Drosophila melanogaster: one gene and its partners. The protein of the gene in region 1 interacts with the protein of each later gene in a biochemical or structural test. Each region holds a gene or a part of one and is shown in the gene's direction. Other genes may lie near its edges. The genes, in order: Ubx, TfIIEbeta, otu and CycK.

Evidence for each region.
Region 2: the proteins of Ubx (region 1) and TfIIEbeta form a complex in vitro, tested with the Drosophila melanogaster proteins (one study listed by BioGRID).
Region 3: the proteins of Ubx (region 1) and otu form a complex in vitro, tested with the Drosophila melanogaster proteins (one study listed by BioGRID).
Region 4: the proteins of Ubx (region 1) and CycK form a complex in vitro, tested with the Drosophila melanogaster proteins (one study listed by BioGRID).

Annotation. Positions count from the first base shown.
Region 1 is NT_033777.3:16,731,383-16,736,177, reverse strand, and holds the start of Ubx (ultrabithorax), read left to right. Parts: upstream 1-1,751; 5' UTR 1,752-2,714; coding exon 2,715-3,480; intron 3,481-4,795. UniProt on the Drosophila melanogaster protein: Sequence-specific transcription factor which is part of a developmental regulatory system that provides cells with specific positional identities on the anterior-posterior axis. Binds the consensus region 5'-TTAAT[GT][GA]-3'.
Region 2 is NT_037436.4:4,285,339-4,288,860, forward strand, and holds TfIIEbeta (transcription factor IIEbeta), read left to right. Parts: upstream 1-1,699; 5' UTR 1,700-1,811; coding exon 1,812-1,873; exon of another isoform or gene 1,874-1,945; coding exon 1,946-2,050; intron 2,051-2,125; coding exon 2,126-2,288; intron 2,289-2,348; coding exon 2,349-2,639; intron 2,640-2,695; coding exon 2,696-2,953; 3' UTR 2,954-3,011; downstream 3,012-3,522. Other genes in the region: CG1316 (uncharacterized protein), read left to right, coding at 87-193, 261-431, 509-580.
Region 3 is NC_004354.4:8,484,475-8,491,465, reverse strand, and holds otu (ovarian tumor), read left to right. Parts: upstream 1-1,930; 5' UTR 1,931-2,092; exon of another isoform or gene 2,093-2,118; intron 2,119-2,343; exon of another isoform or gene 2,344-2,522; intron 2,523-2,613; 5' UTR 2,614-2,634; coding exon 2,635-2,862; intron 2,863-2,924; coding exon 2,925-3,022; intron 3,023-3,091; coding exon 3,092-3,246; intron 3,247-3,303; coding exon 3,304-3,699; intron 3,700-3,752; coding exon 3,753-3,889; intron 3,890-4,083; coding exon 4,084-4,209; intron 4,210-4,472; coding exon 4,473-5,717; intron 5,718-5,785; coding exon 5,786-5,962; 3' UTR 5,963-6,458; downstream 6,459-6,991. UniProt on the Drosophila melanogaster protein: Catalytic component of a deubiquitinase complex consisting of bam and otu. The complex deubiquitinates K63-linked polyubiquitinated proteins; this antagonizes the ubiquitination activity of Traf6 and regulates the IMD immune signaling pathway.
Region 4 is NT_033779.5:22,124,131-22,132,112, reverse strand, and holds CycK (cyclin K), read left to right. Parts: upstream 1-1,970; 5' UTR 1,971-2,389; coding exon 2,390-3,592; 3' UTR 3,593-7,173; coding exon of another isoform or gene 7,174-7,331; 3' UTR 7,332-7,828; downstream 7,829-7,982. Other genes in the region: CG3651 (uncharacterized protein), read right to left, coding at 7,174-7,331, 7,897-7,982.

The DNA of each region.
Region 1 (4,795 bases):
CCCCATTGCATACCCCACCATAACGTAGCAAGTTTGAATATACTCGTACCCGTAAGATTCCCGAGTATATTAGGTAGCAAAATTTTTACGAGCTCATTATGGCTCATTTCGGCGATTGTTGTGATCCTTTTATGCGCCTTCGAATGGCTTCAAATGGTTATGAGGCTATTTCTCTGTCATCCCCGCGAGTCCTTCGCACTCGTGTCCTTCCCCTGGGTCCCAAATGCGGGATAGCGAGTTTCTGGGTCCTGGATTCCCGACTCACGATATTTAGTTTGCAGTTGCGACTGCGATTTTTACTTTACTTTTGCTTTGCTCTGGGTCTTCTCGCCTTTTGGCTTCGCTTTTCCTTGGGCTTTTGGTCGCATATTTAGAAAATGTCGCCGCGTCTCCGAATGTGATTCAAGTGTTTGTCAGTGTGTGTGTGTGTGTGTGTATGTGGTGGTGCGTATCTGTGTTTTGTGCAAGTTTTTGTATCTTTCGCTTGTTGTTGATTTTTAAGACTTGGCACCGAAAATTTGGTCGGCGGAAAATGGCGCGAGCAGGGGTTGGAAAAGTAGAAAAGTAAATTTCTTCTTATAATAAGTTTATTTTGCAAACACTTGTGGCAAGCAACTTTGTTTGGTCGCCGTCGGTTTCTGGCTTAATCTACGAGCCGTTTGTGCGAATGTGGAAACTTTGACAAATATTTGCGAAACTTTCGCGAATGGCGCGGCGTTCTCGGTCTGCAAGACCCCGATCTATTTGCATTATGCATATGAATTTATTAGCATCAATTCCCACCATATTTACATTGACATTAATATCCCATTGAAAGTATTGGCGAACGGATTGAACATTTGGATTCGAATGCGAATTTGAATTTGAATAGGAAAAGGAAAACCGCAGCACACAAATTTTCCGGATCCCTGGCTTCTATTACCGTACAATGCCGAGTTGGGGTTGACTTATTATCAATAAACTAATGCTAAACACGAGACTTTTAATAAATAAAAAATAATGTCTTCATTAATATATTATAATTCGTTTTTAAAGGCCTAATAAAGCCTTTAAGTGATAAGTATCTTTTTATGCCATACCACATTGAATTAAGCTTATAGTTTTTGAGGTAAAGGTAAAAACGATTAATTTACTAATATTTTTCTAAATTGTGAAACAATTTATACGATATTTACTTCCATAGAAATTAAATTAATAATTACAATATTCCGACTATTCTAATAAATATATTTTTTAAAACAAAAACTTTTTTGCACTTCGTTGTGTGCAAATTATTCCCCAAAATATTGAACAATTAAATAATGACCAGCTTAAACTGAATAGAATTAGATACAAATAATTTGCGTAAGCCATATTCTAGCACAAAGATTGGGAACTGAAACTGTAGTCATAAGTGCGCTAAAACCGAGCAAATACGGGATGCGCATCGTTTGGCGTGCAACTGGCAACTGGCGGGCAGCCCGTCGAGCGTTTTTCGCCACTCAGTTGAAGGAAAATCAGCCCTCCTCCATGATGAATTTCCCGCGGCGAGCGCATTTTCCTTCCTCGCGAATGAATGAACGAGAGGCGCCCACCCCGATAAACTTAAACTGAACGAACACTCAAGAGAGAGCGCAAGAGCGCTCAAAAACAATCTGGTTTTGAGCGTTTCGCTGGCTCTCTGTTTCTGTTTTCCACTCGTTTTTAGGCCGAGTCGAGTGAGTTGAGTCGGCAGAGCAAAGTCAAAACACTGGCAACTGCGATTTGGTGCCACATTCGTTCGATGGCAACGGATTGGATAACAGGCGCGCGCTTTGTTTTATTATCCACATTATCAGCGGCATTATTGTTATTATTGGCCCTCAGCGCTTTACCGCTCGCCCACGCGTCCGCCCGTGAATGCCGCGCGGAAAAGTCGCTTTCCACTAGATTGGCGTCCAGATTCGAGGAAATCCGTCAGCAGACGCATTCGCGCCCGTTCGGTCAGCACTATGGCTAATAATCGTTCAAATCGTTAAAACCATAAAAATAATAATAATAATTGCAATAACAATAAACATAGTAATAATCGTAACGCTTACGAGCCTTTGATAGTGCCAAGGCAAGCGCAATCCAAGTATTCAAATTCGAATTCAATTAACAGCAAAGTGCAATTGGCTAAAAACCGAAACCAAAACGCAACAAAGTATACGAAACACTTGTGAAACCGTACAAACAATTGTGGAAAAAAATTTAAAGATTATTAAGATTGAAGTCTCAATAAACATTAGTGCTTAAATAAATTTAAAACGACCCGCGTGGAGAGTGCAATAAAAAGAATAACTTTTGAAATAAATATTTACCAAACAGAAAAATATTTTATAAATATTTAAATAAGTGAAAAACAAATTGGTTACTCTGAAACAAAGAAAATTCAAATTGGTGCTAAAACAAAGGAGAAAAAATTTCAAGAATATTTTACAAATAATAAGACATATTTAACTATATAAAACCAAACTTAATCAACAAAGACTTGGAGTGAAAATATAAAATAAATTTTAAAAAGAGTTTAACAAAATTTGTTTAAATCCAAAGGAGGCAAAGGAACAGCACAGAAAGCGAGGAAACACTCAAATAAAATCCGCCAAAAATCGCAGATCCCTGGAAACCAATTCGTGTGAAATCGGTCAAGCCCCCAACGACTTTTAGCCCGTCTCAGACGGAGCACCGCCAAGATTCTTACCGCCAGCAGCGCAATGAACTCGTACTTTGAACAGGCCTCCGGCTTTTATGGCCATCCGCACCAGGCCACCGGAATGGCAATGGGCAGCGGTGGCCACCACGACCAGACGGCCAGTGCAGCGGCGGCCGCGTACAGAGGATTCCCTCTCTCGCTGGGCATGAGTCCCTATGCCAACCACCATCTGCAGCGCACCACCCAGGACTCGCCCTACGATGCCAGCATCACGGCCGCCTGCAACAAGATATACGGCGATGGAGCCGGAGCCTACAAACAGGACTGCCTGAACATCAAGGCGGATGCGGTGAATGGCTACAAAGACATTTGGAACACGGGCGGCTCGAATGGCGGCGGGGGTGGCGGCGGAGGCGGTGGTGGCGGCGGAGCGGGCGGAACAGGTGGAGCCGGCAATGCCAATGGCGGTAATGCGGCCAATGCAAACGGACAGAACAATCCGGCGGGCGGTATGCCCGTTAGACCCTCCGCCTGCACCCCAGATTCCCGAGTGGGCGGCTATTTGGACACGTCGGGCGGCAGTCCCGTTAGCCATCGCGGCGGCAGTGCCGGCGGTAATGTGAGTGTCAGCGGCGGCAACGGCAACGCCGGAGGCGTACAGAGCGGCGTGGGCGTGGCCGGAGCGGGCACTGCCTGGAATGCCAATTGCACCATCTCGGGCGCCGCTGCCCAAACGGCGGCCGCCAGCAGTTTACACCAGGCCAGCAATCACACATTCTACCCCTGGATGGCTATCGCAGGTGAGTGTCCTGAAGATCCGACCAAAAGTGAGTGTCCACTGCAGCACAAGTCCACTGAAAGTCCCCCGAAATCCCATCCCTTCTGTCCTCATCCCTGCAGTGCCAAAGCTTTGTTGTTTTCCCAGTTGTTATCAAGCTCAACAGATTGCAGCTATGGCAACAAAAGTCATCCTGTGATTAATTGCCGTCTCTGCTCCAATTAACAGACAAGTCAACATGTAAGGCAATATAATGAAGAGCTCGAATCGATCATGGGAAAAACAGATAACAACTTGTAATGTAAGACATATGAAAGCAGGCAGAACAGACCTTTTTATGGCAGGTTCTTAGGGAAAAGACACAACACCTTATTGGCAATCAAAAACTTTAAGCGATTTAAAAAAAACAAAAACTAAGAATGTATTATGGTTATAGGAAGCCAAAAAACAGTCCTAGTTAATATTGTGTATATTCAAATTGGCTGAAAAGTTTAGAAAAAAAGATGTGATAATACTTGGTAAAAAAATTAAAAATTTTAATAAAAAATAGTAAAATTATATTCTTCAGAGGAAAAAAATTAGGACAAGTATTTTAGATTTATTAAGTGTTAAAAAGGCAAAAACCCCCTTGGCTAACTCAAAATTATTTTCCAATAATTCTATTTAAAGGCACCCATTTGCGTGGCCATAGTTTATTCGCTGGCCGCCAATTTCAGCGATTTAATCACTCTAAGCGAGATTTTATGGCTGTGATCTCGCTTAGAGTGATTAAATCGAGTGAAGAGCCATGAGTAGCTAAAATAAAAAAATAAAAAAAACCAGCTCAGACCCTTCGATTTCACCTGCTCCGCTCCGCGACACCTTGCAGCGCTACGTCTGCCTCATAATTTTCAACACTTTGTTTACTAATTTTTGTCACCTTTGCTTTTAATGATGCTCGGCGGTAATTGTTGCAGCGCTGGCAGCCCAAGTGAGCTGCAATTTGTGCAACAAGAGAGCGGCAACGAGCAGCGTGAGTTATGGCATGCGGCTTAAAAAGAGCTGCAAAATAGCAACGGAGAAGTCAAGAAATAGCAAAAGGCAGCAAAGGCAGCCACAGGAGTCGGCGAGAAAGGGCAAGAATCCTTTCAGGACACACACTGCGCGCAGAAGTCGCGCTTATTACGGTTAACTACGCCATTATGTAATTACGTTCAGCCCCTCACCGCTCGACTTTTCCACGGGTTTCAGTCACCAGCCGAGCGAGGCGAACGGCTTGCGTCTGGGCCGAGATTGCCGTTTGGGCCAAGAACAAAGCCAAGAGTAGGTCAGCCGAAGGAGGTCTAGGTGCTCGAAGATCGAACGTAAACTGCACTCAAGCTGGC
Region 2 (3,522 bases), on another chromosome or scaffold:
TTTGCTTGGTTTATTTCTTAGCACATTTTTGGCTTAAAATGCATGATATTTCCTATTTCTAGACTTAATGTGGTTTTTTATTTTAGAGCGAACCAAAAAGGATGCCATCTGCAATGTTCCCTTGCCCCCAACTCAGCCACTGGCATCGCCGGACGACCAGGTGGCCCAACGACTGTTCATTGTGCTCTCAGCGGTAGGTATCACTGTACCGTGTCCAATTACCATTAGCTATAAACGTTGTTTCTTTCCCATCTACTCAGAACTTGCCGCATTCGATATTGAAGAACATATTCTCTTGCTGGTCGGGACTGATCGACGTCTACCTTCTGCCCAACAAGAACTGTGGCTACGTCAAGTATGCGGAGGTTGAGAGTGCTCAATTGGCCATTCGTACCCTAAACGGAGCCGAAATTTGCGGCACCAAAATCAAGGTTTGTACCGTGTACTCATGTTCTGTTGCTGACAAGCAAGCAATTCTAATCAATTTTAAATTTTTATCTTACTTTAGGTCATGGAGGCTGAGGAGCGAAGTGGCTCCGACGGCGATGATGGCGGTCGCAAGCGATTGAGACGGAACTGAGTGTAAGTAGCTAGTTGAGTATGCATAAATTCCGTATCTATTAATGTAGCCATAATTGAACTGAGTGTGTGCCGTGGTACGAGGTAAGTAGCTGTGCAAATTCCAAACCGAAAACCTTTTAGCGATTTAAGACAATGTGCGCCTGCTGCACTTGCCCTGTGCACCGGTTGGCCATCGATGTCCACGATACCCATGCCGCCCACTGAGCGCGAACATAATAAGCCAAACCATTTTTATCTTTCTATCTCCACAGACCCACTGACAACCAAGAACTTACAGAGAACGCAATGTACGAAAACGTAACTAACTTGAGCATACAGTCCGATAAAAACAGTTGAACTGACCACCAACCACCAAACAACGCAACAACCAACCAATAACCAAACAAGAACCACCACCACAACAACACTCTCCGTACGGAATGCCACATGAACCAGAACCACGGGGACTGGAGAACGCAGACTGGAAACGGAAACTGCGAACGAAGACCATACCCGGGTGAACAAACCAAACAGGCCAACGAAATCACCACACCCGTTGACTACTCTCTACCAATTGACTAACTCAAGTGGGTCTCGTACAGAGCACTCGTAGAAAGACCCATAACCCATACGACCTTTAAACGGAGCCAACGAAACCGCAATGCTCTTGCTATATACACAATATATGCATAGTGTCGTATATATGTGTACTCATACCGCTTAGGGGACTTTTGAATCTACCCGTGATACAGAAACGAACTCTCTGTGTAACTTGAACTCTTACAAACTTATTCCGACGAGATTCAGCCAAGCAATAAATTCAAACGCAATGAATTTCTTAAGAGTATCAACTCTGTCTCGTAAATTCACGCTAAGCCACAGCGTGAAAAATTATTCTTTTCATATATTAGATTTAAATAAACGATATTCTACTGTATAAGGCCAACAATAAATACACTTAAATGGAATAATGTTTTTTTTTTCTTTGGAAGCGAAATGGGAAACAAATTAATTCTCGCTATGCAGATTTTCCATATATATATAATAAATTTTTTTTTAAAAGCGAATGGACTTTTTGAAAGGTCGTTAAATGAACCAGTTCCGAAATGTACAACTTCAGTGTCGCAGCCCTGGTAAGTTCCGGTTCCACGGACAGCTGAGCAGGCATTGTTTAGATTTTGTAAATTGTTGATTTCTCGCAGCAGAAAGTTTTTTTTCGTAGAGCTAAATAATAAAAAAAAACATTCGAAATGGATCCAGCACTGCTTCGCGAACGCGAGGCCTTCAAAAAGCGGGCGATGGCCACGCCCACGTGAGTACCGCACTTGTGGCCCCTCTGATAAAGATTGCTTCTCGAAAATTACATGCTATCCTTTTAAAATAGCGTGGAAAAGAAGTCCAAGCCCGATAGACCAGCTCCACCGCCGCCTAGCGATGATTCCAGGCGCAAAATGCGCCCGCCCAATGCTCCCAGGCTGGATGCCACAACGTAAGTTCCTTGAGAGCCTCTGCTACTGCCAGAAATGGTTCTTAACCATGTGGAACTCTTGCATTCCATACTTAGATACAAGACCATGTCCGGCAGTTCCCAGTACCGCTTTGGAGTGCTGGCCAAGATTGTGAAATTCATGCGCACACGTCACCAGGACGGCGACGACCATCCCCTGACCATCGATGAGATTCTGGACGAGACCAACCAGCTGGACATTGGGCAATCCGTTAAGAATGTTAGCTACAGTGCGTGATAAGTTGTGGCAGGTTATTAAACCATTATTCCTCTATTTTAGTGGCTTGCTAGCGAGGCTCTGCACAACAATCCCAAGGTGGAAGCCAGTCCATGTGGCACCAAGTTCAGTTTCAAGCCAGTCTACAAGATCAAGGATGGCAAAACGCTGATGCGTCTGCTCAAGCAACATGATTTAAAGGGCCTGGGCGGCATTTTGCTGGACGATGTCCAGGAATCTCTACCACACTGCGAAAAGGTGCTGAAGAACCGATCAGCCGAAATACTTTTTGTTGTTAGACCCATTGACAAAAAGAAGATTTTATTTTACAATGACAGGACTGCTAATTTTTCGGTGGGTTATAAACACACTCTTCTAAAATCCCAGCCTAATCAATTGTACCGTCTCAGGTGGACGACGAGTTCCAGAAGCTATGGCGCTCGGCTACGGTCGATGCAATGGACGACGCCAAGATTGACGAGTACCTCGAGAAGCAGGGCATTCGCTCCATGCAGGACCATGGCCTCAAGAAAGCAATTCCCAAGCGCAAGAAGGCGGCCAACAAGAAGCGGCAGTTCAAGAAGCCCAGAGACAACGAACATTTGGCCGACGTTCTGGAGGTCTACGAGGATAACACACTAACGCTGAAGGGTGTGAACCCAACGTAGAATAGAGACATTAGATTATACAAATAAAAACCACTCTCAATGGAATTAAGTACACTCGAAACTGGATGTTATAAATTTGTTTAACCACTGCCAATCTAATTAAGAATCCGCTGTGGCCGAAATCTCATTCCTCAAGATTTATAGTACCAGATTGCTGTTCTGCCTGTGGCATTGAACTTAAAAATATGACGACCGGCACAGGGAAAGATAATTAAAAAGCAAAACTATGTAATCTTTTCCTGACATTCCCCATTGCTTTCCACACCTGATGGCTGGTGGTGTGCGTGTACGAGGGCCAGAATCGATGCTGGTGGGCAGTTAAATTGGCAACAGAGGGAAGCCGTAGCTTTAGTCTGCACTGAACAGCAGCCAAGTTCAGTTGGAATCGATTTGGAATAACCTATATTTTGGTACGGCGGTTGTGCGGGCTTATCAGGAAAATTATCTATATATTGGACTCTACAAATCTAAAAAAAGATTGTGTTGCTATTTGTAATCTATTAAGATTATAACAAGAGATCCGATATTCAGTATAGACAAAAATATAGCTCATACGACTCGTAAATCAG
Region 3 (6,991 bases), on another chromosome or scaffold:
CTTTGTTTTGTTTGGACTGTATGCTTTACCTCTTACTTCCCCTTTTTATTTCAGCAAAGACGCGACGAGCTAAAATGTTCGAAGGCAACTAAAAGCAGCAAACGGAAATTCTTAGCCGCCGACCGGCAAACAATCGCATCAGAAAAAAAAAACAACAAAAGCAGAGAAGACAACTTTCGAGATGTTCCCAAATTCAGAAACTCACTGTGCTATTTCAAAGATGGTTGGTATTGTTTGTATTTCTACACCATCAAACATTTCATTTCGCATATTTGTGAAATTACGTTAATATAATATTATCACACAGCACAAGATTTTGAAACCACTTATAAAAACAACATTTAGATGTTATAAAATACCATGCAATATCAGATATAAAGCTTTAAAGACCTTTATATTTTGGAAAACAAAGTGATGGTTTTTCGAAAACAGGAACGTCGATTTTTATCACATGAAGAGTTTAAGTCGTTAATTCGTGTTTGAGGGACACATGTCAAGAACCGCGAGCAAGCGAGATGGAGCTAATGGAGCACTTATCTGGGAGCCCGACGAGTCCGGTTCAAGAGACCTATATTTTTGTATTTTCTTTATTTTGTTTTTGGTGATAAGATAGTTGCGGGAACAGGATAGTTGTATAATCGGTATATTGATAAGACGACCGACAATATATTGGCCGAATCATTTAATCAATTAATTGCTGACAAAAACGAACCAAAGTTCGAAGGTCAGCAGACGGCATTGCAGAAATGTCCGTGACATTGACCTCGGCACCTGGAAAATGAAATACCACCCAAAAAAAAAGAACATCATATCTATGTCACCATTTGACCCAGTTAATCGAAAATCGTGGAATTAACGAAAAGGAATCAAAGAAATATTATTTCGTTGGGCCGTGTGTGGGAAAGAGAGGTGGCGCAAACAAGGCGAGAGAGAGACGGGGCGAACACGCGTTCAACAAACTTGATTAACGGTTTATCGATTTGCCATCGCACTCGCACAAGCACGTGCTTTGTTTGTCGCTCCTATTGATTTTTACGGCATTGCTTGGATATGAAATAACCGCACATTTCTACTTCTTCCTTTTGTGCACTCCTTCCAATTTCATAACGTTGTTTATTTGCATGTGTGTATCGCATGTACAAATGTCCATTGTTGTGTGTGGTTGAGTCCACGTGTGTTGTTTTTGTTAATGACTGTGATTTTCATATGTAAAACTCTTTGTTATTATTATTCGATGGAAGGAGGAGGAAAACGAAACAGATGAACATGGCGTAAAGTTGATGAAACACCGAGAGGAAATAGAATTCATAGTCGTTGCGTTTTGCACACTCGCAAGATAACCAACTAACGACATTTACTAACAATAAACAAAAACATAACTTTACACGAGAACACAAAAAACACAAAAAAAAAACAGGAAAACAAAAGGCACACACAGTCACACACTCACATCTCTTCCAGACAACTTTTGTCGCGGTAACAGCGCGAACTGAAAGTTTGCTCCTGGCTTCATTGACTCGCAATTTCGAACTGAGTCTGATGAACAAGAACAACAGTGCGCCGTGTGGAAAGCGGCATTTTCCACCCCCTAAAAAGCGGGCCAGCAACAACAGCAACGACAGTAACAAGAACAATTTGAAGGTAACAGAAACTTTTGGGGATGACACGGAACAGATGATGCCGCTATCGGTGTCATCGATAGACGGCGATAACAGGAGTTTTTTAACCGCTCAGCAATATATTTCAAGTATATCATACACTTGTGTATTTCATTTAGAAAGTATTCAACAAGATCAGATATATTTATTTTGTTGATAAAATCACGAACCAACTCCATTGATTCATTTCCGCACATCACTATTGCCCAATTTCGTTTGTCGGCATCCTTCCAGGCACTGGAAGTTCGTTCTTATACTTTTCGTTCGCATTCTAGTTCGCGGGTTCTCTGAAAGGCTAGATCGCGCCATTCGCTTCAATTCTTCGTGTAACGGTGCTAGGTGCGGATGCCAGTGTTATTTTTAATTGTTAATTTAATTGTTAACTATTTATAAAAATAGAATTTGTACAACAGAAGACGAACAGCAGAACACCGGTAATATCTCGATTCGATTTTAACTGTATTAGTTGAAACATTTATAGTAACGGTAATTTGTCAAGTGACGAAATTAACTAATTAAGCGCAGCATGAGAGGCTTTTAAATCATTAAATTTTAAACAAATATTTAATTTTCATCAGCTTCATCACATTTAATTTTGCTCTTTTGCTTCATTTGCCTTTCTACTGCGCCATCTTGAATTCGCAGGTGCATATTGTCATCTCGCTCTGAAGCCCGGCTTGTATGGAGTCGGTTAATAATTGGAATATATTTGTATTGCAGCAAATTTGCTTTAAAACTATTAAAGTTAAAAAAACTATACAATAGTTAACATAAAATAAGTAATAAAGCTTAGTATGCGCACTTCTTAGTGAAACGACAATAGATAGCAGTTGAAAAGTGATTGTGAAGGTCAAATAGATCGAGGTCAGGGCCCTCTTCTAACTGTTAATTGTGCAATACTTGTATTTCAAAGGGAAAACATGACAAAAAAAAAATGAAATGAATAAAATTTAAGTTTCTCGATTCCAGAGTCGCCATGGACATGCAAGTGCAGCGCCCCATTACGTCAGGCAGCCGGCAGGCCCCGGATCCGTATGATCAGTATCTGGAGAGCCGTGGACTCTACCGTAAGCACACGGCCCGGGACGCCTCCAGTTTGTTCCGTGTGATCGCCGAGCAGATGTACGACACCCAGATGCTGCACTACGAGATTCGGCTAGAGTGCGTCCGCTTCATGACCCTAAAACGACGCATCTTTGAGAAGGTAGGCCTCTAACAATCACACATTTTGTAAAAAAAAAAGAAATAATTTTATTTATATCCCAGGAAATTCCTGGCGATTTCGATAGCTACATGCAGGACATGTCCAAGCCCAAGACATATGGAACCATGACAGAACTACGCGCTATGTCCTGCCTATATCGGTAATTAATCCTTAGTTACTATTTTCTATTAAATTCTACAAATATATATGATTTCTGTACGACTTCCAGCCGCAATGTTATCCTGTATGAGCCCTACAACATGGGCACCAGCGTCGTTTTTAATCGTCGCTATGCGGAAAACTTCCGTGTCTTCTTCAACAATGAGAATCACTTTGATTCGGTTTATGACGTTGAATATATAGAAAGAGCCGCCATTTGTCAATGTACGTAGCCTATTAATATATCCAATTTTGCTTTTTGTATATGTACGTTGCTTTCAGCAATCGCCTTTAAGTTGCTGTACCAGAAGCTTTTCAAATTGCCTGACGTATCCTTTGCTGTGGAGATTATGTTGCATCCACACACCTTCAATTGGGATCGCTTCAATGTGGAGTTCGATGACAAGGGCTATATGGTTCGCATTCATTGCACCGATGGACGAGTTTTTAAGCTTGATCTGCCAGGGGACACAAACTGCATACTGGAAAACTATAAGCTGTGCAATTTCCATAGCACCAATGGAAATCAGAGCATTAATGCTCGAAAGGGAGGCCGGCTGGAGATTAAAAACCAGGAGGAGCGAAAGGCATCCGGCAGCAGTGGCCACGAACCAAACGATCTGTTGCCCATGTGTCCAAACCGATTGGAGTCCTGTGTCCGCCAGCTGCTAGATGATGGTCAGTAGAGGTGGTTTCAAACATCAAATGCTTACATAATACTCTCTTTTTAGGTATCTCTCCGTTTCCCTACAAAGTGGCCAAGTCCATGGACCCCTATATGTATCGTAATATAGAATTTGATTGCTGGAACGATATGCGCAAGGAGGCCAAGCTTTATAATGTCTACATAAATGACTATAACTTTAAGGTAAACTGTGCAGAACATTGGATTATCGTTAGCACACATACACACGCACACCAACACACGTTTCATGTCAACCACCCATCCAAATTAACACCCTTTCATTTTCATCTATACACTGGATACACCTTATACTTTACTATACATGTATGTCTTGCCTTATCCTTCCTCGTCTCGTCGCCGTGTTATTTGTTTTCCAGGTGGGCGCCAAGTGCAAGGTGGAATTGCCGAACGAAACGGAGATGTACACGTGCCACGTTCAAAATATCTCCAAAGATAAGAATTACTGCCACGTCTTTGTTGAGAGGATTGGCAAAGAGATAGTGGTACCTCTTCTTTTTATCTGATTTTCTAGACCCTTGCAGAGAAATGCAAAAATTTCGATTAGAAACGATTATCATATTTAACAATTAGTTAAATTTGTTAAAGTTTAGTTAAAAGTATATTAATTGTGGCCCAATGAACTGGTATATAAGTCTATAAAATAATTGATCTGCAAGGGCTAAAAATGTTCGGTATCCGAAGCTAATTGTAACTATTTCGCTTTAATAGAGAGCTTACTAATATACAAACATATCTGTTGGCTTAGGTCCCGTATGAATCGCTCCATCCCCTGCCGCCAGATGAGTACCGCCCATGGTCGTTGCCATTCCGCTATCATCGCCAGATGCCTCGCTTGCCGTTGCCCAAGTATGCCGGTAAGGCCAACAAGTCTTCCAAATGGAAGAAGAACAAGCTGTTCGAAATGGACCAGTATTTTGAGCACAGCAAGTGTGATTTGATGCCCTACATGCCCGTGGACAATTGCTATCAGGGTGTGCACATTCAGGACGATGAGCAGCGGGATCATAATGATCCTGAACAAAATGACCAGAACCCGACTACGGAGCAGCGGGATCGTGAAGAACCGCAGGCACAGAAGCAACACCAGCGCACGAAGGCATCAAGGGTTCAGCCGCAGAACTCGAGTTCCAGCCAAAACCAGGAGGTTTCGGGTTCGGCTGCCCCGCCACCCACTCAGTATATGAATTACGTGCCAATGATACCGAGTCGTCCTGGGCATTTACCGCCACCTTGGCCTGCATCTCCGATGGCTATTGCCGAGGAGTTTCCGTTCCCCATTTCAGGAACCCCGCATCCACCGCCAACCGAAGGTTGTGTATACATGCCATTCGGTGGTTATGGTCCACCACCACCGGGAGCTGTTGCTTTATCGGGACCGCATCCATTTATGCCGCTTCCTTCTCCACCGCTAAATGTTACCGGAATTGGCGAGCCACGTCGTTCTCTACACCCAAACGGTGAAGATTTGCCCGTGGATATGGTGACTTTGAGATACTTCTACAACATGGGCGTGGATTTGCATTGGCGCATGTCGCACCACACGCCGCCTGATGAACTAGGAATGTTTGGATACCATCAGCAGAACAACACTGATCAACAGGCAGGACGGACTGTAGTCATTGGCGCCACAGAGGACAATTTGACTGCCGTGGAGTCAACACCACCACCTTCGCCAGAGGTGGCAAATGCCACAGAGCAGTCACCGCTTGAGAAAAGTGCCTACGCCAAGCGCAATTTGAATTCGGTTAAGGTGCGCGGCAAACGTCCGGAGCAGCTGCAAGATATTAAGGATTCGCTGGGGCCAGCGGCATTTTTGCCCACTCCAACGCCATCGCCAAGCTCGAATGGCAGTCAGTTTAGTTTCTATACTACTCCATCGCCGCATCATCACCTGATAACACCGCCGAGGTTGCTCCAACCGCCGCCACCGCCACCGATATTCTACCACAAGGCGGGACCACCACAGCTAGGGGGAGCAGCTCAAGGACAGGTAGGAGTGATACATGCACTAACAAATTCAAAATATTCTATAGGCAATCGACACTCGACCATTTTTAGACTCCCTACGCCTGGGGCATGCCAGCTCCGGTGGTGTCCCCCTATGAGGTGATCAACAACTATAACATGGACCCGTCGGCTCAGCCACAACAACAGCAGCCAGCCACCTTGCAACCAGCTCCCTTATCTGTCCAATCTCAGCCGGCAGCTGTCTATGCTGCAACGCGTCATCACTAAACAAAGAAAGAAAAAAAAAAGGGAGCGGGGGCAAAAAACAGATCACTTGAAAGAGAGAGGCCATACAGATCGAAGGCATTACATTCCATTGCAATTAACGGCTTTTAAAATTTAATCTCACTTTTAAATTTGTAGTTAACTTTTTATAGGCCATAAGCGTTGGCGCTCTATCATAAACCATTCAGCTTCTGTACAACAATCGATTGCATAACCTAACGCAAATGTCAACCCAACTTCATTTTAAAAATGTAATTTAACGTAATTTTATGCGAATTTTTTTAAAGTTAGCCGTCACGAAATCAAAGAACCACCTATTTATATGATTTATTTAAAACCCTTCTAACCAAAAATATCTACATACTATCTACTATATATATACATATATATATATATATATATTTATGTGCTCGCTGTTCGGCTAGAGACTCACCTATGTAAAGTGTACCATCAAAAATTAACCATAAATAAAACAAGATTCAACTGCAGCGCAAGAGACAAAATGTACAAAAGACTTTTGCAGGTGCTGCAATTACGTGGTATTCTCGTGTTTCGGCGCGATTTCAGATAGCAAACAAAAGGTGTGGATTGGCTTGGATTACTTTGATTCACCTCGTCACATCACATCGACGCTGATCTTCGAAACGATAAAGAACTCTGATGTAATCCTTTAGTTTCATTGTAAAAGTTTGTTATTATTGTATGTACTGTCTTTATTTGTGTCATAATTTGTTTGTCTATGTTAGTTTTAGAAAACGCTGTTATTTTTGATAAGCAGATAGTTTTTTAATGCATGGGTTTATATTGTAGCATATTACATCAAATTAGTGCATACTAACTAAGAAAAAAAAAACAACAAAAAGTATTTACAACTAAGAAAATTAGATATTAGAAAATTTATAAGGTTCATTAGTTCAATCAATCACGATTACTTTAGTATGTAGTACATTGAAAATGTTTTGAGCTGTCAACATTATCCTGCTAAAACTAACCCATGTTAAAACCATCCAGAATGCTGAAGATAAGTTGAGT
Region 4 (7,982 bases), on another chromosome or scaffold:
AGCGTAAAAATAACTACATATTAATGCACAAACAATAAAATTGAATGCATACTAACTTTTCTTATGCTTAAAATATTACAAATGTGTGTATATTATTAGTTTAAGTTTCAAATTAGTGAGTAAATGAATTTTTCACATTTCTTTATCTTTAAGTCATTTTTGAAAGGCAGGTGGTAATTGTGAGCCTGCACTAGTTTTAGGAGATAATAATTACGTGTTTATTTTAAACAAAATCGGAAGGTACTAGTCAGTAAGCATTAATTATTATTTTTTAAATAAGGCAAATATGTATATTTTAAAATATGAAATACATGTATGTATGTCCGTATAAATAAAACCGTGAAATCAAATGTCGATTAAGTCATTTGACATAGCCAAGCCAGGAAATTTGCGGCTGATCCAAAAATATCTACCTGAGTGTAGCATAGGTGGGATAAATTTGGGCAATACGACCAAGATCGTCATCGTTCTCCAATTGGGAATCCTTCCGTGTACGCCGAACTGGTAGGCTGGGCATCGCTTAGCTTCGAACCCAATTACGAATATAGCAAATTTATACGCGGTATTTGTAGCTTTCCCAGGATAACAACACAATCCGCATAGACGGAATCTGCGATCAGGGGTGATCAAACGTTAGAATTTGCACAACATTTGGGTTTGTTTACCTTTTTGAAGTTCGAGATCGTAATTGCTTGTCTTGTGAGACGTAGATAGTTTTCAACGTTGGGGGTACTCCGGCCTTGGTTGTTAACCGCAACCAAATACTTAGCATGCAATTGGCGCAGTCGAATGACGGAAATTCACATTCCCTAAGTGCTCGTTAAATAGAAGTTAAAATACTAGAATTGTATACATATACTGAATCACTTGGTGAAAGAAATATAAAATGTTTGTTATCACTGATAAATTTTAATATACATTTTTAAATTCAATCAAAGTCAATTCCATATTATCTGTACTTCATTAAAAAATATAATATTATTAAAACAATACGATCCCCACCGGCGTTGTATATTTTCACCGATTTTACGTGTTTCATTCATTCTTGAGTTTCCCCTGATACGTGTCTGCGTGCTGCTGGATGTTCTTTGAGTTTTGTAAAATTTTATTTAAGTCAATGATCACTTGAGCGGTAAGGTTTGAAAATATGTTCACTAGCCTAAGTGCATGATTCAAAGAAAAATATACATAACATTTTCTACGTTAAAAAGAAGCATCTCGACTGATTTGGTTGTTTCGCTCTATCAAGCTCACGTTTCGGTTTTCCATTATTATGTAATTTGAGTGATATATATCGATTTTTAAGAATTTAACACACATTATAGAAACATAAAAAATATAGAAACATAATAAAATTATAGTGCCATCACTCGCGTTTATATTAATAATAAAAGAAAGAATACTATAGTCGAGTTCCAAGGCTATCAAATAACCGTTACCAGCTAGTGTGAATACAAACGCGAAATTGCATCAATTTTATGGAATATCGATAGATAATGGGATATAAAATGATAAAAAATTTCAAAATTGTTCCAAAGTGTGGCATTAGGGCGTTAGAGTGCGCGTGGCAAAAATTTTATTGACAAATCGATAGAAATTAAAAAGACTAATTAAATTATAGTCAGATCGACTAGGATATTGGTCCTGATCAAGAATATATATACCTTAAATGGTCGGAATACGAAAATACGACTAACGGTTATAATAAATTCATCACCACATTACTAGAAGTAATTACTATTAAATAGAAAGCGCTTACACTGCTCATAATCTTGTTATTACATTTTATAATGTTTAACGAATGCTATCTATGCTTTAAATTGAAATACTTGTTATCCAGTAGGATTATACATAATGAATTATTTCAATATACCATTTAACAACAAAACAAATTGCGCAATTCCCATCACTAATCCCTATGCTTGGTTTGATATCTCCAAAACATGGAAATGCGATTCCAGTGTAAACATCCCATTTGTTCCTCGTAACAGTCAAAGGACGGCCAAAACCACGTGTAAATATATCTGTTTAATTATATCCCAAAATTAAGTCACCAAAACTAGCAAACGCACAAAAAATATTCAGTTTGACCCGCAAGAGATCGAAAATTTTTGCGTTATCTATTTACCAATAAAGTTGTTCCATATACTCAAAATCGTCGTGGTCTTGGTGTAAAAGGGGCTTCCAATAAAGTTTTTTTCTTCATCGTCGTAGACATGGTAACACTGCAAGTGAACATAAAAATCGAAAACTGATTTATTTACAATAAACAAAAGCGCTTATCGGCTCCAGGACGCGCATATGCTGACAACCATTTGGCTAAAGGTTTAACACAAATTCCTTCCAACGACGCGGACTACTGGTAGTACCCGCAGCCTAAATTGCCGCGATGCCGTGCTGGTATTACGACAAAAAGGAGCTGCGGGAGACGCCCTCGATCTTGGATGGAATAAGCTTCGAAACGGAGCGGCGGTACAGAAAAGAAGGTGCTCGATTTATTATGGAATGTGGCACCAAAATGGGCTTGGGCCACAACACGATGGCCACCGGCGTTGTATATTTTCACCGATTTTACATGTTTCATTCGTTCCGGAGTTTCCCCCGGTACGTGACTGCGTGCTGCTGCCTGTTCTTTGCTGGCAAGGTGGAGGAGACGCCAAAGAAGTGTCGCGACATTATTAAAACTGCGCGTGGCATCCTTACCGACAATTACTTCTACTCGTTTGGCGACGACCCTAAGGAGGAGGTGATGACGCTAGAGCGTATTCTGCTGCAGACCATCAAATTCGATTTGCAAGTAGAGCATCCTTACACCTTTCTCCTAAAGTACGCTAAGTGTTTCAAAGGCGACCAGCAGAAGCTGCAAAAGATGGTGCAAATGGCGTGGAACTTCGTCAACGACTCTCTCAGCACAGTAGTTTGTCTACAGTGGGAGCCGGAGATTATCGCCGTGGCTCTTATCCATTTGGCCAGCAAGCTAAGCAAATTCACTGTGCAAGACTGGGAGGGCCGCCAGCCACAGCAGCAGCGTTGGTGGGATATGTTTGTGTCTGATGTAACGATGGAAATACTCGAAGACATCTGCCACCAAGTTCTGGACCTGTACCAATCAACCCAAAAAGAAGCGCTCCAGCCAACCAGTCCGCCCCAAAAGCCACCAAGCAGAGCCGACAGTCCAAAATCCGGCAAGCTTACCAATTCTACGGGTATTGGACCACTTTCCGTTCCACAACAGCCGCCGCCCCCCGTATGTGGCAACGGTGGCGTGCTGGAAGTTAGCAACATTCAGAGCATTAAATCCCTAGCCAGTGGCGTGCCAATCATTGGTCCTAGCGACTCCCAGAACCTGTTACAGGGCCCAACACCACCAGGTCAGCCATCCGGGTACCACATTTATCATGCTCCTCCACCGCCGCCCCCGCCGGTAGTGCCTATGCCGCCGTACCCCTCTTCCGGATGGGGAGTCCAGCAGACAGTGGTCGGACACTATAGCGGGAGCGCTGCACCACCACCACCAATGCCGCCTAGCTTGCCTCCAGGAGCCAGTGGATACTACAACGCCGGTGGGCGTCCATCGCAGCAGCGCTACTAGTAGATGCAATGACTAATAAACAAGTAAAAAAAATTTGTATATTAAAACTAGCGAACCGTTCGGAATAGGATTTAGAGCGGGGATCTTCGTACGGTTCGGTTTTCTTTTTTGGTTACACTCTAGGCCCAATATTGTCCCGGGGTATTTATCAATGATTTTTATTCCCTTATTTTAAGTCCTTACCCTTTCACATGTACTTGTTAGCAGAATTTTGCTGAAATGATGTTTCCAAAACTGAATAAAACCAAATGAACTAGAAAAAAATATTTTGGACATTGGGGCACTAACAAAAATAGATTCTTATTAAAATTGGCGAAACGTTGAGACAAAGCGGAATTGGAGTAACGGCGAAGTTTATAACAGTGGAAGATAAACATGAGAAATATGTGAGAACAATTTTTCAAAAGTGTGGGCGTGGCAGTTTTGGGGGTTTTGTATGTAAAAGGAGGGGCGTGGCCAGTGTTTTTGGTATGCAGATAAAAATTGGCAAGTCAAACAATAAAACGAAGAAAAATCTAAAAATTTTTAAATAGTGTGGCGCTATGTGTCTCCGCAAACTGTATGCTTAATCTCAACCATCTAGCTTTTATAGTTCATGAGATCTCGACGTTCATACGGACAGACGGACAGTCGGAAAGTCAGATATGGCCAGATCGACTCGACTATTGATCCTGATCAAGAATATATATACTTTATATGGTCGGAAACGCTTCCTTCTGCCTGTTACATACATACTTACAACGAATCTTGCACCTTTTACTCTACGATTAATGGGTATAATAACTCTTTAGATGTTTGAATAATTTTTGGAATGATACATAGTGTGCGAAGATTGCTCGGCTATCAGAAACAACAGTGCAGTTTTGCAGTTTCCATGGACTTTATTCTTGCCCATGGTACACTTGGAATAATAACGACTGCCCAGGCTACCTCGATTCGTATGTTTATTATAAATATAATTATGTCGTAGGCCAACGGTTTCGTTTTCCAGGCTAAAGACGAAAATGTTCGAAAATAATATTATTGACTTTGTTCGATGTTCTTCAATTTAATTTAATTTTTAAATGGTGTTAAAAATAATTAATTTCCTTTTATCTTTCAAATTTTATAAAGTCGATTTCTCTGAAACCAGGCTCTTTGATGTGATACTTACCGCGCTCTGCTTTCGAAACATCAACTACTTTGTCTCAGTTCGTTGACTTGCTTCGTTACAAACGTCTCGATCTTTTCGCTAAAAGATCTAGCTGACTTTTAGTTCTCCCGCGCTCTAGGTCCAAGGACCTCTATTTCACCAAAGACACTATGATAATTTTAGTAATTTATAAATTAACTAAACAAAATAATTTTAGTTTGGTATTATTCTAGTGTTGCTTTACCGTAAGTTGGCTATATTTAGACCAGGTATTCGGATACTTCATTTTTATAACAATTGCAAATATAGTGGTAAAACACGAAAAAATTAACAAAATATTTTTGCGGTTATACATAAATTTTTCAATGCAGAAATAATTTCTCAGAAATAATAAAATATTATATAAATATCAATATGAAGAATATGAATAAGCTTTAGAGTATTACTTATTGCCGTTTTATCAAGGGCTAAATAACACATCTAAATAAATAGTGCAATAGGAAAAGGAAAGTTTTATATTATATATTAAGGTTTAAAGCTAGGGCATAATCTATTAGACTAAAATTTACATTGTGTTCTGATCACTACCCACTTATTGCCATATATGTTGCAGGAAAGGTCTTCCGTTGATGTTTTTCGCCAGAATGCTATGGTACTTCCAATGAAGCTGAGTTTTTGTCAAGGGATCTACACGTTTGTCGACCTTGTGAAAGACAAAAGCCAGTTCTGACTGGATTAAAAGTTTGCATTTGTTTGTGCTCTACTAGTATGCCTGGCATACAGTTCTGTACAGTTCAAGTCTTCAAGTCGTTATGATATAGGACCACCTCTGTCGAAGGGAATAAATTAAGATCGTACTTGTCAATACTCCAACTAATTTTATTGAGTAAATCTAACAGTACTTAAGAGTAAGAGTTAAGATTCACATAATATGCTTATGCCAACAGAATTGTGTAAGACAACAAATTTTGGGTAAGTGGTAATGCTATATAGCCAACTGGACAGAACATGTTTATGCCAGTAAGTCGTTCACGACCTGAAAAACGATAGTCCGTGTTGGACTAACACTTTTACCTGAAAAATAACATTCTCCTGGCCGTTGAAGTGTTAAATAAGTAATTAAAGAAGATTGAATTTTAAATTTAAAACAGCAGAAATTCTTGATTTGTTTTTTAGTAGCCGGCTTACTAACTATACGCGTGACTCGTATAGAGAGAGTATACTAGATTCGTTGTAAAGTAACAGTGACATTCATACGTGCTAGAAACTAACTTGTGAGTTTTAAAGCAACACAAAAATTTGGACCAGCAAGAAATATGTCGTTCTATACGCAGGGAACTCTTAGTAGAAACTTATCAGCTAATTCAATGTAGTTATAAACCGCTTGCAAGATCCCTTTCTTATAAAAAGCATAGAGTATAATAAAATTCTGATTGTCTTAATTCGAATGTAGAGCCTTTTTCCTGTCTTTGAGCTGGCCCACCAATCCGAGAAATATTTTTTCCAATATATGTGTGGTGTGTATCTCATACTGTTTTGTTTTCAGACATGTATATATATATAACGCTAAAGTAAGATTAAAAACGAAAGGCGGGTAACAACGAAGACGAAAGAAGAATTCAGGAAGATGATGATCAACTGAGATGAGTTGAGTTAGAAAATGTTTTTTATTATATTATTTTTATTTATATTATCCAAAAATCTGCAGTAGCAATTATGTTGCGTCACGGCCCTTGAACGACGTGCAGAACACAGCCAGCCTTATGAGAAAAGTTTAAGCACTTGGATTGCAGTCGTTAAAAATTCTTGCTGTCAAACAATTAAAAAACTGTGACCTTATGTTACCCTTGCTGGCCATGTTTGTTTTAAATAGGCTTCTGTGTCACAATTATTTCTAACGCATGGCGCTCACTCGCTAGCAAAACAATCTAATGCAAAATTCGAATAACAAAACAAGAGAGAATGCTATATATTTCCCTTATATGACCGGAAAACTATGTACCTGTTACATATGTTTCAACGACTCTAGTATACCTTTCTACTCTACAAGTAACGGGTATAATTACATATGTATATGTACATATGTACATACATACATATGTATTACGTATTCCGTAAACAAATATGCACATTACAATATAAGGCGTTGATAGGCGAGGCAGATACATATATTTGTATTGATACCTGTATATTATGGCCTACATAGAAAACATTTTTGAGCTTTAAACACCAACTAAACTTTGAGTTTCTTTATTTTCTTTTTTTTTTAGAGCGGAGAGACTTTTGAACCCGACTTAAGCGGTGGGTCACGGCCATGCGATCACCTGATTTAATATGGAAGATGACTTATTAAAAAAAATTAAACAATAAAACTGGGCTAAGCACTTCTAGAGAGATGATGTGTATCCGGCTTAATGTGAAAATAAATGAGTGGTTGTGCAAATACGTCCTAACATTTGCGGGTTAGAGTCAGTACCCCACTCATGTAATACTGCGGGATCATTAAATATTCGGGCAGGGTGCGTTTACAAAAGGAGGTTGACGACGATGCCTGTGCTTGTGTGGATGCTGCTACTGTTGCCTGACGCACGATGTGACCAACCTTTCCTGAAAAAAATAGAATGTTATTTTGTAAAAAAAAATAACAATTTAATACAATTTGAAATGACTTGTATTCTGCGTTAACCTTACAAAAATTGTTACGCCCACTGGCTAAGTAACGGAAATCTGAAATTTGAATAAATCGACTATAAGATTCTCTCGTCATTAATTGACTTCCCTAAAGTTCTTAGGGTAGCAATTATGTAGTCTCACGGACTAGCCTAATTAAGGTCAAATTGCTTCCCTCTTGCGTATATTGGCAAAATTTCATTAGTTTACAATTAAAGAAAAGAACTTGTTTAGTGTCTCTGTGTCAGGGGTAACAATACTTACTAATCCATATATATATATTTGTATATCTATCGATATTCCAGAAAAATTATGAAATTTCGCGATCGCATTTCTACTAGCTGAGTAACGGGTATCTTAAAATCGGCGAAGCCGACTATAGCGTTCTATTTTATGATTAGAAAACATTTTTCTTACTGAATATGTAAATATGTAATATATCAATACCGAGTAAAACTTTTATATACAAACTATGAAAAAACAACTCTATAGAACATCTTACCCATCACGTTTGCGCAATGAAAGCGGTCATCTAGTTGCTGAAGGAGGGAAAGATCTCGACAACGTGCCCAGGCATTAAGTATGTCC